2 linked regions of the Nothobranchius furzeri genome follow. The protein of the gene in region 2 purifies or fractionates together with the protein of the main gene of each other region. This does not show direct contact. Links are inferred from orthologs where the notes say so. Each region holds a gene or a part of one and is shown on either strand. Other genes may lie near its edges. The genes, in order: sav1 and lats1.

What was found.
Region 1: the proteins of lats1 (region 2) and sav1 purify together in Homo sapiens (affinity purification with western blotting; 3 studies listed by BioGRID). This does not show direct contact. The link is inferred for Nothobranchius furzeri from reciprocal best matches to the Homo sapiens genes LATS1 and SAV1.

The regions. Positions count from the first base shown.
Region 1 is NC_091758.1:19,774,631-19,778,463, reverse strand, and holds the end of sav1 (protein salvador homolog 1), read left to right. Parts: intron 1-1,808; coding exon 1,809-2,079; intron 2,080-2,165; coding exon 2,166-2,321; intron 2,322-2,447; coding exon 2,448-2,661; 3' UTR 2,662-3,236; downstream 3,237-3,833. UniProt on the Homo sapiens protein: Regulator of STK3/MST2 and STK4/MST1 in the Hippo signaling pathway which plays a pivotal role in organ size control and tumor suppression by restricting proliferation and promoting apoptosis.
Region 2 is NC_091742.1:11,406,646-11,411,121, forward strand, and holds the end of lats1 (serine/threonine-protein kinase LATS1), read right to left. Parts: coding exon 3,312-4,476; intron 2,828-3,311; coding exon 2,245-2,827; intron 1,836-2,244; coding exon 1,653-1,835; intron 1,456-1,652; coding exon 1,349-1,455; intron 1,273-1,348; coding exon 778-1,272; 3' UTR 628-777; downstream 1-627. UniProt on the Homo sapiens protein: Negative regulator of YAP1 in the Hippo signaling pathway that plays a pivotal role in organ size control and tumor suppression by restricting proliferation and promoting apoptosis.

The sequences.
Region 1 (3,833 bases), on a different chromosome or scaffold from region 2:
GAAAAATTCTGACGTTTTTTTAAAAATGAGAAGTTTTGCTTTCAAGTCCACTTAGAGTTATTACGATAAATCCTGAGCAGAGACAGATGGGCAGAAGTCATTAATTATATCAGCTGTAGCAGCGCCATGACAAATAAGAAAATTGGAAATGAACTGATTTTGCAGCTCTGCCAGCTGAAGAATTGGGCTCAGCTCCCACCGCCCCCTGCCGCATAAACCTAGCTCGGGCTAGCTGTTAGCTCATTGGTTTTAATGACAAACATTTTATTTTCTCAAGCAGAAGCTGTTCATTAAAAGTTTGGTTCACTGAAAACCCATTCTTTAATGATCATTGCTGATTATAATGGGTCACTCTGAGTTTTTCATGCAGGCTTAACATAAGATAGTCTCCTACACCTATCTGTGCATTAGCTTCTGATAAAAAATAGATAGTGAAACTCTAGGATTTGAAAAGCTTGACAAATTTCTTGGCTCGCAGAAGCTAACCGCTAGCATTTGCATTGTTACAAAGCAAACCGAGTCAGCGGTAGAGTCTCGTTGCCGTTTGCCAATCAGGCGCACCAGAGCTTTTTTCCCCCCAGAGTAAAACTTCCAATGCATTCATTCCTACTAGAGACAGCTGCAGATGTACTGATTAAATGAGCGAACCACACCTATAAACTATCCAAATTTGCCAAAACATGTAAAATCATTTTTATTTATTTTTTGTTTTACGCAGTCGTGTCATGAGGAGTCTGTCCTGTGGGACATTTTTGTTTTAATAGATGTTTGTGCTATCAGAAATCTCTGCGTTTATCAGAGTAATAATAGTACATCATCGTCATCATGTGTTAGTGTGACCATCATCCTGTAAATGGGCGATGTCGTCATGGTTGCAGCCTGTCTGGATCAGGCATGCCCATGCAGGAATCTGAAAGGTGTGTGATTAGGAAGTGTGTCATGTTCAGTCTCTGAGCTTTGTGCTGTGTCACACGGGTAAAATGTGCTGCGGTTACTGTAGAGCAACACCAAATCACATGATAACATACTTGTCTGGAGGACTGGCTGGCTCATTTAATACCAGGTGTTACTTCCAGCTGGACTTTTAGATCTGCAGTGAGACGTGGATGATGATGGTGATGAAGTGAACGAGGAGGAGTGTGGAGCAAACACATTCCACCCTTCATTCAGCAGCTGGGAAACAGCTCCAGCTCTGCCTCTGTCACTCTCAGACAGAATTGATCAGATTCCAGCTGCCATTTTCCGAGATACTTGATTCCTTTAAATTCCTGCGCATTTTCAATCCTCCCTGAATCCCTGCAGGCTTGTTTTGTTTCAAGCCTCAATACTCTTTGCTCGTCCACACAGCTGTCGGCTCAACATTCCTGTCTGACGTTATTCATCAGTAAAAGTACGGGGCGCATTGAATGCGCATGCTTTGCTGTCGGCTGCTCTAAAGAGTTGGAAGCGCCTGGAAATGGAGAGCTCTCTGGCTTCCTGTTCAAACGTTCCAGCACTCCCATTTCCTTCCATTCATCGGACTTGTCAGTCAGAGAGACGCTCCATCTCAACAGTCGGAGTGATTAGGCGAGCCTGTCCAGATTCACAGCATGACATCAGTCGTCTTTTAAGGACTGCTTCTCTGCATCCCTGTCTTATCCGGTCCTATGTCCATATTCCTCTCCTTTCCCACACATGCTGGTTTCCAAGAATGTCTCAAAATATTCCTGTTTTCCTCAGAGGTGCTGTTAGTCCACAGCTGCTCCTCCGTATGTTTGGTCAGATATTCTCCCTCTGGGTTCCTTAAAAGAAGTGTTTGTTTTCCCCAGGCATAGGTCGGATTCAGGCCAAGTCTCTGGGGAATCTCTCCATTTTAACGGGAGAGGATGTCCCCCTTCCGGCCGGCTGGACTGTAGACTGGACCATTCGTGGCAGGAAGTACTACATCGACCACAACACCAACACCACACACTGGAGCCACCCTCTGGAGAGGGAAGGGCTCCCTCTAGGCTGGGAGAAGGTGGAATCTGCTGAGTTTGGGGTTTACTATGTGGATCATATCAACAAAAGGGCTCAGTATCGGCATCCGTGTGCCCCCAGGTACAGAACCAAAGTGAAAGTTTGGCTTAATTATGAACATCTTTGGAGAAACAAAGATCTACAAATACAACATCTTTGTATTTTAGCGTGCCTCGCTATGATCAGCCCCCACCACCTCCACTTCCTGTGACCTATCAGCCACGCCCAGCAGAGAGAATCCAGCCGGTGCTCGTGCCCGCTAACCCGTACCACACGGCCGAAATCCCCGACTGGCTGCAAGTTTACGCACGCGCGCCACTCAAGTGAGTACCGTGTGTCCCACACCTCAAGGGTCATCTTCGCTGCTGCCTGCTGCAGCAACCCCTGATTACCAGGTTAGGGGTGTTTTGTGTTGTGATGTACATCAGTTCCTGTTTTTTGTTGTCCAGGTACGACCACATCTTGAAGTGGGAGCTGTTCCAGCTGGCAGACTTGGACACGTACCAAGGGATGCTGAAGCTGCTCTTCATGAAGGAGCTCGAGCACATCGTCAAGTCCTACGAGGTCTACCGACAGGCGCTGCTGTCTGAGGTGGAGGCTCGCACACAGCGAAAGCAGTGGTACCTCCAGCAGCCTAACAAGAACTTCCAAGGGAACATGTGAAGCTACATCTTTAGCAGGTCGTCCCCCTGCCACACCTCACTGAGGTTTCCACAGTTTGGGAGCGGTTAGAGCTTCTTTTAAAATCAAAACTGACTCCTAATTGCTTCCTTACCAAACACATCTGTGCCTTTGCTTGATCCAAATATATCAGCCAAGAAGTCAGAACGACTCATTGACTAAAGGGAGGGCTGTCCCCCGGTGCCACGCTCACGTTATGGACAACCGAGACAGCACTAGGATGAAGACACAACGTGCTACGTCTGTGGACGCTGCTTGGGTGGGATCTAAACCCACCAAACTGACAAATGAACTTTTCATTTCCTGTTATTAAGACTGAGAAGCACCAAGTCTGGAAATCCTGCTCAGGATATTTGTTGAAAAACATCCCGAGATTGTGCCTTAAATTAATCGTACAAAGTCTGCTCGTGTCGCGCGTACACCACCAGCTACTCCGTCTTTTTCTCCTTCGGGACGAATCGACAGGCAGCTTCTTATTTAAATACAATATTTTTGCTTTGTAACCCTCATAAACTGAAACCATACTCTTTTACATAAAAATAAACATTTGCATTGTTCTCTTGTGATATTCCTTATCGTTATTTAACAATCCTCCAGTCTAAATGATACTTAAAGTTAGATGAGCATCACACTTACTGCAGCACATCTATGCTTCAGAATATTTAGTGCATTTCATTTTCTATGGGTCTTTCTTAGTTTACATGTTCATAAACACATTTAGTGATCAGCCCGCTTCAGCTCAGAAAACCAAATCAGGCTAAAGTAAAGCAGTTTACTGGGATCTGTGCAGCTTTAAACATCTTCAGAGGACGTTTGGTTGCTGAACGAGTTTGTGTTGAACCAGTAAATCCTCTTGAGTTTTGAGCTTTCTGTGCAAAAAAGTTTCAACTTTTCAGAATCAAATCATTTCGGTTGCGAAACGAAAGTTGTTAAGGAAAAAGCTGTAAATTATATTTAAACCTGCACACGTCTTTTTTTTTTCTTTTTTGTCACTTAAATGTTTCAGATCAGTAAACAAAAAGCGTTGTCAGACAAAAACCTGGATAATTAAGAAATAACTTTAGTAGATGCTGTCGTGACAACATGAAGGCTAACGGATCTCAAAACGTAACCCAAGAAATTGAAGTTAACCAAGAACAACATCTAAAGCCCTG
Region 2 (4,476 bases):
GCAACATTTTGCTTCTGCTGTTTAAATCTTTGAATAACAGTTTAGATTAATTTAGGAAATTAGAATTGTTTCACGGCGGTATTACACTTTAAGCTTGGTTCTGTGGAGTAGCTGTGAACTTATGTCTGAACAGAGGCTGTTCATGAAGCTTTTACACAGAAACATGTTTATAATCGGCCATATCATCCCTTTCAGTAGATCTGTCTAGCAGGTAGATGGAGAAAAATCATGGTTTCCAGTGAGAAATCAGGAATATTAGATGTTTATTTACTAGCGGTTTTCCTGATTAGAGTCTGAAAATCCATAATCTGTGGTTCCACCTTCTCAAATGTGACACTTTGATATTTCCTTATACATGTTAACCCCCCCCCCCCCCCCCAAAAAAAAAACCAGATTTGGTGCGTTTCAGGTTTCTCTCGTCATTTCTTATAATCATCTTTCACAAGTCAGCAGATTTCAGTCTTCATGCTCTGCAGAGATAACTGACTCCAGGTCAGTTTCATAGTTGGAGATCAGGTGTTTCATTTTTAACTGTGATCTCGTGCTGCAGCGTTCTGAGTGCTCCTATAACCACACACTCCTATGTTTTAAATGCTTTATCATTGCAAACCCCTCCTCTCTCTCTCACTCTCACTCTCACGCACGCACACACACACACACACACACACACACACACACACACACACACACACACACACACACACACACACACACACACACACACACACACACACACACACACTTTCTATGTACAAGCAGCTTAGTGGGTTTCAGGATCTACACGTAGACCAGATCCCGGCCTTGTTTCCCGGCCTCGAGCTCCGCGCTCTCCATGTCCGCCTCGTCCTCGTCATAGCCCTCGTACTCGATGGGTTTGGGGCAGCTGTAAGGGTGGCCGTTGTCGTCAAAGAAGCGCCGGAAGGTAAACTCGTAGAAGGCGTGCTCGGGGTGCTTTCCTTTGCGGAACCAACAGCTCAGCGTGTCGTTGTGGTTGCCCTCGCCATTGCTGCTCCGCAGCTTTTCAGGGTCCACTGGGTCAAAGTTGGAGGTGTCTGTGGAATGAGCGATGGTGGGGACGTAGGGTGCCACCTGCTGTCTCAGGTCGCTGGAGAAGTCGATTCTTTTGAAGAATGGATGAGCTTTGATTTCATCTGCGCCGTTCTTACCAAGGCGATCCTCTGGGTCGCGGCAGAGTTTAACGATGAGATCCGACGCCTCTGGGGTGAGCTTGGCTTGAGGGGGGATGTGCAGCGTGCTCTTCCAGTTTATCACCTGGTTTCAACGAAAGAGACGCGGCTTTAAGGAACTCCGTGGCTGCAGAACATTTCACAGCAGGTGCCTCTCATACCTTCAGCTGCGTCTCCAGGGGTGTGCTCGCCAAGAAGGGAGGTTGTCCAACAACCATCTCGTACAGGATGACCCCAACGCTCCACCAATCACAGAGCTGAGTGTATCCTACAGTTATACAGGAAATGACATCACTAAAAGACGTTTGGAATTGATTTTCTTTTTCATCAAGATGTCAATATTTAGTTTCTCAGCTTTTATTTTGAAAAACAGAATAAAGCTGTTATTTACCATGATGTGGATTATTAGAGCAAAGATTTGAAGCAAAAATAACATAACTGAACATTTTTAAAGGAAAACTTTACCTGTTCGGAGCAGAACTTCTGGTGCGATGTAGTTGGGCGTTCCCACCAGTGAGTGGGCCAAACAGCGCTGGTGCTGCCGGGCCTTCCTCCTCTCCAGAGGCTTCAGACGCTCTGAACAGCGGCAGTTAGCTTGATCCTCCCACTCCTTACTGAAGTCCATGCTGTCCTGTCTCTCATGATCTCCTGCAGAGATAAACAGACACATAATTTAAGACTTAGACATCTTTATTTGATAATTCCTTGTTGCTAAATGATGCAATACTGATTTAAAATGTGCTTTTGTTGATGTAATTTGGATTTATATTATTGCGCTGTACATTGATAAACAGAAATGTTGAATTGCACGAATCCAAAACATGTCAACAGCCTCCCGGCTTCTACTTTTTAGGCTCAACCTGACCTGAGAGACACAAACGGCAAGATATCTGAAAACAAAAAGGAAGATTTTCTATTGTAAAATCTTTTTTCATCTGTTTGTATGTGAATTTGACAGGATAAATGTTAACATTACCATTGTTTTACAGTTTTCATTCTAAAAGCTTGACGTAGCGACAGAAAAACACCTAACAAGACACTGAGCTTTAGCACCCACCGCTCTGGTAATACTTGGAGTCGTGGGTCCAGCGGAAGCCTGTGCACAGACCAAAGTCGGTCAGCTTTATGTGTCCGTCTCTGTCTATCAGAATGTTGTCCGGCTTGATGTCTCTGTGGATGAAGCCCATCTTGTGGACACTCTCCACCGCACAAGTGAGCTCTGCGATGTAGAACTGGGCCAGCTCTTCTTTAAAGATGCCGAGCCGGATGAGGAGGCTCATCATGTCCCCCCCGGGGATATACTCCATGACAAAATACAAGTTCTCCTTGTCTTGGAAGGAGTAGTAGAGACGCACCACCCACTCGTTGTCGGCCTCGGCCAGGATGTCCCGCTCGGCTTTGACGTGGGCCACCTGGTTCCTCAGCAGCACGTCCTTTTTGCGAAGCGTCTTCATGGCGTACAGCGACCCCGTGTCCTCTTTTCTCGCCAAGCACACCTCGCCGAATGCTCCGATGCCGAGGGTTTTGATCCGCTTGAACATGGACTTATCCATTTTGGCGCGCATTTGACGGATGTAGTTGGACTCCTTCTGGTAGAGCATCATACGCATCTGCTTCTGGGCTTCGTACGACAAACCCACCTGAGGATGGGGACCATAAAAATAAATAAATGCAGCTTTCATGCAATCCATGTTAAAATGAGACGTTAGTAATGAATGGAAACGAGTGACACCACCACAAAACGAAGTGAAATCTATCTTTCCTGAAGTGTTAATGATCAATTTACCCCAAAACAAAAATGTGCGTGCAGTGCACGGAGGCGGCTGCGGGATGGCATGCCACTCTTCTCATGCTTTCACTCGATGCAGGAGAAAATACAGATATGAGACACTTGACACCTTACTTGTGTAACTGATGTGTGTTTGGGCTTTTCTGAGTCACAGCACAGGAAAAGATACTTTAACCTCCTAGGTCAGCTGCTTGTGACAGCAAGGAGAGAAAGGAAGAGAAAGAACAGCTAAGAAAAACTTAAAAGTGTGGAAAAGATCGGAGATTTACCAAGATAAGACGGGGAAACCAGGTCAAAAAGAGAAAAGGACAGTTTCTTTTCATAGATGGTCTCACCCTGTCCATTTCACACTCCAGCTGCTTCCTCCTCCGAATCCTCTGCTGATGGTTCTTCAGGATGTTCTCCATGTGTTGCTCCATAAAGAACTTGAAGGCTTGGGGGGAATACAGATTGACTCTCCCAGACTCCCCTCTGCGCTCCTCATCTTTCTTGTTGTTACGGCGAACAGGAACAGGTGATGTTGTGATTTGTTTCCTCTCCTTCTCCGCTGCCGTGGTGCTTTCAAGACTTTCTGACACCTTCTCCCTGGAGGCGTCTCCACTGCTGCCGCTGCTGCAGCTCCTCTCCTCCTCAGGACTCTCCTCTCTACCCGCAACAAGCTTATTGGCTGCAGCGTCGTACGCAGGGGGCGAGGGTGCAGCCGGCTGCTGTAGGAGGTGTTTAGGGTACGGTGGAGGAGGGCCTATATAGTTTGGTGCCTCTAGTGCTGTGGGGATCTGAGGGACCTGAGGTGAAGGTTCTGGGTAAGCAGGCGCAGCTGGAGATGCTGAAAGGTGCTGCTTCCATGGAGGATGTGTGGGAGCGACGGCAGTGTGTAGCTCTGGTTTCTGGACTTGCGTGCTCGACACCGGCTGCAGGATGGGAGCCTGAGTGATGGCCGTGACCGTAGTGGCAGAGGGCTGGGAGCTGGCTTGATGAGCAGGTCTGCCGTTGAGCTGGTGGTTGTTAAATGAGTTTGAGCGGACTGGCACGTTCTGCTGCCATGACGGGGACAGGTCCTGGTTGCTGTTGCTCCAGTTAGACACCAGCATGGGAGGAGGGATGTTTCCACCGTTGACGTACGAAGGAGAGGATGCCGGCTGCTCGGTGGGACTGTGTCGGCTGCTCTGGTTGACTGGGTATGGAGGAGGGGGTTGTCTACTGCTCCCTGGTATGTAGTCCTGTTGAGCGGAGCCATTCTGAGTCCGAGTGGAAGGAGAAGTGAATTTATTCCCTGAACTTTGCATTATGATAGGCTGGTGAACTACGGGCCCTGGGTTGGCCCCGCGTTGATTCTGAGGAGGTGGATTTGGGTACCCATCAGGCCGAGCTCCTTGGGGAACTGGAGAGATTCGTGGAACAAAGTACTCCACATTCCCAGACCAGCGCTTGGTTGATGGGTTGTTGTCCCAGGGAGAATTAGAAGCCGCGACACCGCGGAGTGGTGGGTAGACAGGAGGT